Linked DNA regions of Caenorhabditis elegans. The protein of the gene in region 2 interacts with the protein of the main gene of each other region in a pairwise test. Each region holds a gene or a part of one and is shown on either strand. Other genes may lie near its edges. The genes, in order: klp-15 and rol-8.

Region 1 (4,851 bases), on a different chromosome or scaffold from region 2:
AGAATTTATTCAACAAAAATCAAGTCGAGGAGCTACGTGCGAAGAAATGCGAAGCCGAACGTAAACTTCTTGGATTCAAACGTCTTGATCTTCTTTTATGGGTTGAGGTTTCACCAGAGCGTAACCAAATTCCGCTCATTCTTGACGTGAAAACGATTTCTGATGCTCTCAATATTTTGTAATTATTTCTATTGCTTGCTACCTGAATTCACGTGTACCACAATATAGTCATGTATTATTTAATTGTTCTTGTTTTTTTGTTGTTTCCAAATACAATACAACTGTTTTAAGCTTTTTCTTTCGTTAAAATTTCTTTAAAACAGAAATGTAACAAAAAACATAAATTTAAACAAACTGTATGGAAAACTGTACAGTTTTCGATACAACGAGAGTTTGAAACTACAGTACTCTTTAAAGGGTCATGCCATTTTCGAATTCATCAAAAGTTCGTCGGGTCGAGACATACATACTACAGTAAGAAATGTAATATTCTCATAAAGCTCAAAACAATGTATTTATAACCCAATCAACAGCATTTAGACCGGACTATATTTTTCCTATCGGGATCTCCCTTTGTTTTGAAACAGACGATTAAAACTCAAAAAACGCAAAGTAAAATTGAAATTCGTTCATTTTGTTAATGATCGAAATATTTAGGTTACATCAGTATAAAAGGTTTGCATAAGGCAATAAAAATAACGTTATTTTACATGAAATGTTAGAATAGAATTATATGTCTAGTTCATAGACATCTGGGACACGTCACCCAAGAGAGTCCGTTGCTGCACGGCCGATCCGATGTTAGTACTGCGCATCTTTGAGGCGAATTCGATGCTTCTCTTGGACTCTGTCGCTTGCTCGTTGCATGGATTGAGATTGACCACAACCATAGTCTTCGAGTTGCCACGTCCCAAGCAGTCCATCAGCACTTGTGTCAGTTTGCTGTCGCGATATGAAACATGTCCCTTCTGGGATCTTTGCTGGCTGATGCACATCTGAAGGATAGACAACGACTGGTTGATATTAGTCATCTCCTTGAACTGGTCGCCACTGACACCAGACTCCTTGGCACGTTCGGATCCTGCGAGATCCACAAGTTTGAGCTGGCACGATGTTGAAATTCCTGTATATCAATATTGTGAATTAATTATTTTTATTTTCGAAAGTTACCAGTTGATGGCTGATGAGCTGTAATCTTCCACATATAAACGGCGTGCGAACGAGACGAGCTCTCATTGCACTTTGTCGCCGCCGTCTTCCTGCCACCGTCTGCTACACGAAGAAGTCTAGCCACATCCGAGACATTGGAAATCGTGTGCTCGGAGAGCCCAATCATGGAAACCGTTTGATCGTTCAAACGAAGTTGGACAACGGCGCGGTCACTGAGAAGGTCGTATGCCACGTTGTTGTAGACTTCTAGGAAAGACAACGAGAAGTCGAATTTCCATCCAAGTGACTCGAGCTTTCTGGATTCGGCGAACAGAAATGCAGCTGCTCTCGGGATGATTCCTTCCTCTTCACCATTTCCTCCTCGCATCGTGTGAGTTTTGCCACTTCCGGTTTGTCCATAGGCAATCAATCCGACGTTGTACCCATGCAGTGACGACTGAAATTATCAATTTTCAATTATTAATATTATATTTTGAAACTAACCCGAATGAACTCCTCGACGTTCGCGAACACTTCCTTCTGCGAGAAGACTGGCGTGAAAACCTTCTCGAATTTGACCACAATTCCAGGCTTCGAGCCTTCATTGATTCTGATGGTATCGATAGCCGGATACTCAATTGCAGAACTCGAGGCGTCGGCTTCAGATTTGATCAACGGCCGAACGCGAACAGCCACACGAATTTGACCGCGTAAATCGACAACATCGTTGTGCAACTTTCTCAACTCAGCTTCCTTTTCGTTGAGCAGATCCCGGAGATCGTTGTTGTGCACACGATAATCCTCGCACTCCTCCACTTTCGCCTTGTTGACTTCTTTCAGCGTGCTCAATTGATCTTGCAGTGAAATCAGCTTGCGATCCGCTCCTTCAAGTTTGCCATCCAGGATTTGGATCTTGCTCTTCTGATGTTCAGCAAAGTCGGTAGCCTCAGCCATCGCACTCTCGAGCTGCGCAATTTTCTCTTCAAGAAGCGCCATCTTAGAAGGGAGAATAGGCTTCTGTGCCACTGGTCGGGCTCTTGTCACCGACGGCTTCAGGGAAGAAGTCGCAGTTGAGCGTTGAGTGGATGGTGGCGGTGGACGACCTGTGCGAAGTTGTCGAAACGTAGAAGCTGCCGTCAGTGTGGAAATACGGCTCGCGGTGGATTGCATCGTTGGTATGGGACGGGAACACGACGCTGGTTTGGCCATCGCTGATCGTTCTGGCAACGATGCTCTACCAGTTGCAGGCGTTGTGGGGGTAGGCAAACGAGACGGAGGACGACGAGCAGCGGCTGAAAACTCGTAATTAAAGTAGTTGTTAACAAAAAAGGTTTTAAACAAAAACAAAAACATGTTTTATTTAGAAGTGTGAACACTTTGAAATCACGAGGAAGTTATTTAAAAACACAAATGACAAATTTACCTCCAATCGTTATTCCTCCAGGAGCCGACTGTCTTGGGATTGTTGTTGAATTGGCTTCTTTGGTGGATGGCGCGGCAGCACGTCCTCTTGTGATCTTCGGCGTTGCTCCGATAGTCGACCGAAACAGGCCACTTCTTCTTCGAGCGACATTCATCGCGAAATTTGGGACAAAAATGAGGAAATCAGCCCCTTCATTGACATTTTCCCGCTCAAAGTTGAACTCCGCCTCTGAAAATTCCCGCCAAATCGAATGGATTACCGTAGTCAACTACGGTATTAGATCAAAAATTTATATCATGTTGAGCTCATCCAGAATTGTCGGATATAATTATTTTGTTGTCAAAAGGCATAAAGAATGCCGTAAAAATTATTTATAACTATAACACAGAAGGCTTATCCATAATTGCACTGATATCAGGTTATACAAACAAATATATAAAATGCAGGTCTAGAAATTATAATGTGAGCGACACTCCGATATTCCGGTGCGCGCCTTGTTTACCGTATATCTACACCAAAGTAATTGCAAAAAAAAAATTTGAAAATATTTGCTTGCGAAAATTTTTATACACTTTCTTCAATATTTTGATTTTTCTGTGGTTTTTTAAAAATATAGGTTGGTAAATGATTGTTTCCAGATGACTTCTATCGATGTAACAGAGATTATCAAATCATCGACATCTTCTTTGTATCAGGTAAATTGATATTAAATTTTTTTGATTATAAATAGTTTACAGCCAGCAAGAAAGAAATCTCGTTTTGACGATAGTGCTTCTTCTTCATCTCAAGCTGGCCAGCCAAAACCAGAAGATATTCTTGCGGCTTTGGAAGCCGATCAATCAAATTATGTGGCTCTCGACGATGTGCAAGTTAAGAAACTTGTTATTCAACTTGACAAAAAGATGCGATTAAATCGAGAACAAAGAGTTAAAAATCCAGATGATGCTCAGAAATTCATGGAATCGGAAATTGAATTAGACAAGGCAATTCAAGAAATGCATAGTCTGGCTTCTCAACCAGACCTTTATGGATCGTTTGTTGAAGTCAACGGAGTTGAAATTCTTCTTCAATTATTAGGACACGAGAATACTGATATTGTGTGTGCAACACTTAGTCTCTTGAGAGAACTTACAGACGATGATGTGATGAACGAAGGAGAAGATGGAGCAGCTGAACTTATTGAAAGTCTTGTGTCTGGATCGATTATCACAACTTTGTTAGCATGCGTAGAGAGGCTCGATGAAAGCGTCAAAGATGAAGCGGATGGCGTCCATAATGCACTCGGAGTTGTGGACAATGTAAGAAAAATCGATATTTGAAAAACAAAACAATATATTTTCAGATGATTGGTTTCCGCGATGACATTACTGAAGAATGCGTAAAGCACGGATTCACGGTTTGGCTTCTGAAAAGATGCTTTCAGAAAGGTGCATTTGATGCGAATAAGATGTACGCTTCGGAACTTCTTTCAGTCATATTGCAGACTTCTGATACTGCAAAGGCAAAGCTGACAGAGAAAATTGATGGCATCGATATTTTATTGAGAGTGAGTAGCCAAACAAAGTATCAAGAATAAATTGAACTTTTAAGACCATTGCTGTGTACAAAAAGAACGATCCAGCAAATGTAGACGAACGAGAATACATGGAAAATCTATTCAACTCACTTTGTGCCGCACTTATGCATCCGGCTAATCGAAGTACGAATTTTTTTGAATATAAACACCAAAAAAATTGCTCTTGTTCAAAATAAATGTTTTCAGAAAAGTTCCTCGACGGAGAAGGTCTTCAATTGATGAATTTGATGCTCCGAGAGAAGAAACAAGCAAGACAAAGTGCTCTGAAAGTTCTGAACCATGCAACATCAGGAGACGAGGGAATCGAAAATTGCAATAAACTTGTCGAAATGCTCGGATTGAGAACAATTTTCCCGTTATTCATGAGAACACCTTCAAAGACAAAAAGAAAGGATACGACACCTGATGAACATGAAGAACACGTTTGTACGGTAAGATTTATGTTGTGATATTATTTTGAATGTTTTAGCTTCAAAATTGGACTGGTAAATCGGACTTTCGGTTTTTCTCCTTTTTTGAACAAAAATTGAGTTTTCAAATCTGCCTTGCACTTTTTGATACTTATCGAACATATAATTAAATTAAAAATCGAAAAATCTATTTCTACGAATTACATTTTACAAAAAGTGACTAATTTATATTGTAGGAAATGTTCTTTTGATGATAAATAATAATTTTTTAGATTCTCTCTTCACTGCTGGCA
Region 2 (3,603 bases):
TTTTGGTGCCAATGAGTATTTGCCGTATAGAAATAAACTTCCAAAATACATAATTTTCATTTATAAGTCTGAGTCTACGTTGCTCTGCGATTGTTTCACAACGCTCAGAGCAGTACGTTTTTTTCACGATTTGAATTTCATTTTAGATTAATTATTCCAAAACTATTCCACAACAAAAATGGATCTTACAGTAAACATTATGAGAAAGTTAGGCGATGGTAATATTATTTATTGGCATTCCGATGTGATTATGTTTTGTTAATTGTTTGAACTAATAAATACGAGCGATCGCAACCATAGAATTCTAAAAATATTACCTAATTTTCTTACAATCCGCTTTTCTTCACTCTTCTTACACTTTCCACAATCCTCATTGCTTCTTCATTCTTTTATCATTGTCAGCACCTCATTTATAATCCGTGGATCCCGGACATCATCACGATACTCATCTATCCAGCTACGTTCCATTGTATCTCTGTCTGCTTGTCGAGTTTTTTGTCTTTTCATCTTTCCCCATCCTTTCTCCTTTAATGACTGCGCCGCGGCGCCGTATTCCAAAACTGATTATCCATGTTCGTTTGAGGGGGGAGTAGATAAGAAAGGAAAGGGAGACAGCGAGCGGAGGAAAACTTGGTAACAACAGCTGAATTTCGATTTTTGTTGGCTTCTACGCCCGGATACAGCGCACATTCCTTTCAATGTCCAGAATGTATTCGTTCACAAGAGACAAAAAATACGGAATTATTGCGAAAAAATTTATTTTTGATACGAAAAAAAGACACCCGAAACGGGCGAAATTGATCATGAAGTGGATGGTGATTAGTAGCCTGGTGGGGTACGCGGTGCTGAAAACAACAGAATTTATAGATTTTGAAAAATGTAAAAGGAAGCTTACGTGGGCAATGTCCACAGTCTCCCTTCTCTCCATTGTCTCCTGGTGGTCCAGCTGGTCCATTTGGTCCGGCGCGACCTTCGTGTCCTGGAGTTCCTGAGTCTCCTGGTGGTCCTGGTGGTCCTTGGTAGGATTGCCCGTCTGGTCCTGGGTTTCCTTTCGGTCCTGGTGGTCCGATTGGTCCTGGCTTTCCTGGTGCTCCTTGTGGTCCTGGCACCGGAATGAGGCGTCCAGCGGCTCCTGGCGCTCCCTTCATTCCGTCGCGTCCTGGTCTTCCAATTGGTCCTGGTTGTCCAGCCATACCATCGTCTCCAGACTTTCCGTCTTGTGGTGGCTCTCCTGGAGATCCCTTTGGTCCTGGTGGTCCCTTTGGTCCCATAGCTCCCATTGGTCCTGGAGCTCCAGTTGGGCAGATGATACATGGCTCGGAAGCTGGAGCTGGAAGAACCTCAGCATCTCTACCGTTCTTTCCATCATTTCCGTTTCTTCCATCCTTTCCATCATTTCCTGGTGGTCCTTCTGGTCCTGGTGGCCCAGCGGCTCCCTGGTTACATGTGCAGCAGACAGCTGCTGGCTCGGCGTTAACAGCGGCTCCGTATCCTCCATATCCAGCGGTGTTGGCACCACCACCGGTAGAGGCTCCGGATCCATAGTTTCCACCTCCGTTTCCAGATCCACCTCCTCCAGCGGAAGTCTCTGGGATCCATTGTCCGAAGAGCCAGGCTCTCTTCATACGATGTCCCATTCCCTTTCCAGCTTGAAGAGCTGTCATCTCGAGCCACATGTCACGAGAACGAGCCTATAGTAAGAAAGAAATAAAGTAGAAAATATAGAAGGAGAAATTGAAAAAAAGAAACTAATGAAAAAAGAATGAAATGAATTTACCTTGCAGTAATCGGTTTCGACCATAAGATGAGATTGGAACGACTGAACATAATTATAGAGCATTGGAAGTGTTACAACAGATGCAATTACAGCAGCAGTGGATACAACAACGGCAACAAAAGCGATGCGACGCATCTGCCGTTGCTCTTCTGTCTCTTTAACGTCCATATCTGCTTGATTGGCCGATCGGATCTTCTGCTCGTTCTCCTTCTTCTCCTTATGTAGGCGCCCCCCAAGAACTGGATAACTTGGGCGCCAAGTCCCGCCTTTCTGTGTCTTTTTGAATGAGAGAGACCGTTGTTGCGGCGCAGAGGGCCTCCGTATACAAGGACGATAACCGATTCAACCTAGGAAGAATGAGAGAAAGATACATCGAGATCCGTGTGTGTACACCTGCCATCAAATAAAGAGGTGTGAGGGACGAGTAATACTTTCATGAAAAGTTTAAAAGTTGCAATTTGCAAGTTATTCCAGAGTTCCATGAAAATCCAATCTCGATCAGAACAAGACGGTATCTGAAAAACTGAGCTTTCAAGCTGCTGATAATATGTGTTAAAATTTCTAATTGTGTAAACTTCTGAATGTCTCGAAACGACACATTTTTGTGAAATGCAATAATGCTAGTAACTTAAATTCCTCTAAAGAAATTTCAAGCGATTTTTATAGTCTTTATCCTGATTTGTTAAAATTCATACGCATAGGCTTTTGTATTTTTTTCGTGTCGAGACCGGGTACAGTAATTTTTGCCAAAATACAGTACATGGTCTCGACACGACTGAAACTTTGTAGTTACCGTATCCAGATGTTTTTCTTTCAAAAAACTTTAGTTTGCTCGTTACCAAAATTTAAATCAGAAAAACACCAAAAATTCCTAGAATAATATTAAGAAAACGCCAAAAAATTTTGTTTTGCCAATGTTTTGCCGTTGTTACGGTAGCTGCAAAGTTTCAATCGTTCCAAGACCTGGTAGTGTTTGTACAATTGCTAAATTTTGTAATAATATCTGTAAAAAAGATACCCAACTCTTCGAACTTACTGGAATCTTTTCCATCAATACATCTTCTTTTTTGTCTATCCAGTCTCTATCATTCATCTAATTGGATAAGTATGTCACTTGATTAACTGGTAAGCTGTTGTTATCATCTTCGTTTGTTTCCAGGAAGGAGACTGATAAACAAGTTTCACCCGATAAACCTATTTTCTTTTCTTCAGCTACTAACTAACTATATCATTTTTCTTTATTGATGATATGATATTCCAATTTCTTTTGAATCTATGTTGTGCTTCACGACTTGATAAAAATTCAAGATTCATTAAAATACGTTTTAAAAATTAAATAATCTGAACTACCCACACAAGAAATGCAAACATGAGGTTCAAATACGCAAAAAAAACATAAAAGGAAAACACTGGGAAACTGGAAGTGGTGATTACAATTGTGCATAGCTACGACGTTTTTTCAAAGTTTTTCAGATTTACAAGATAAAGAGGTGACGGTGAAGAAAAGAAAAGGGAAAATGTGTGGCCCCGTAAACAATTGATTTTTTTGTGGATTTTGGTTTTCAAAAGAGGTTCGGAAAAATAGATTATGACGTCACAGACGGAGAAAATGTTTTGAAGATTGAAGAAAAATGAAAATAATAAAAATAACAACTAGTTTGAATAATACTAAAGAAGGACTAGGTTTGATAACTCTAATTTTTCAATTGGTAACACGAAAGGGATAAATAAAACGAATAAAAAGATTAACAGGAATATCAAAATCATTTTTTCTCATTACGAAGAGCATGTGAAAAGTCAGTTGGCAGCTTTGGAGCATTCGGATC

What was found.
Region 1: the proteins of rol-8 (region 2) and klp-15 interact in a two-hybrid assay, tested with the Caenorhabditis elegans proteins (one large-scale study listed by BioGRID).

What each region holds. Positions count from the first base shown.
Region 1 is NC_003279.8:5,576,456-5,581,306, forward strand, and holds klp-15 (Kinesin motor domain-containing protein), read right to left. Parts: upstream 2,740-4,851; 5' UTR 2,727-2,739; coding exon 2,573-2,726; intron 2,442-2,572; coding exon 1,654-2,441; intron 1,607-1,653; coding exon 1,171-1,606; intron 1,124-1,170; coding exon 738-1,123; 3' UTR 615-737; downstream 1-614. Other genes in the region: rmh-1 (RecQ-mediated genome instability protein 1 homolog), read left to right, coding at 3-182; ctnb-1 (Beta-catenin-like protein 1 N-terminal domain-containing protein), read left to right, coding at 3,211-3,267, 3,310-3,870, 3,915-4,118, 4,163-4,271, 4,335-4,579, 4,831-4,851.
Region 2 is NC_003280.10:7,542,476-7,546,078, reverse strand, and holds rol-8 (Cuticle collagen 6), read right to left. Parts: upstream 1,972-3,603; 5' UTR 1,946-1,971; coding exon 1,778-1,945; intron 1,692-1,777; coding exon 896-1,691; intron 846-895; coding exon 820-845; 3' UTR 744-819; downstream 1-743. Other genes in the region: nfi-1 (Nuclear factor I family protein), read right to left, coding at 3,541-3,603. UniProt on the Caenorhabditis elegans protein: Nematode cuticles are composed largely of collagen-like proteins. The cuticle functions both as an exoskeleton and as a barrier to protect the worm from its environment.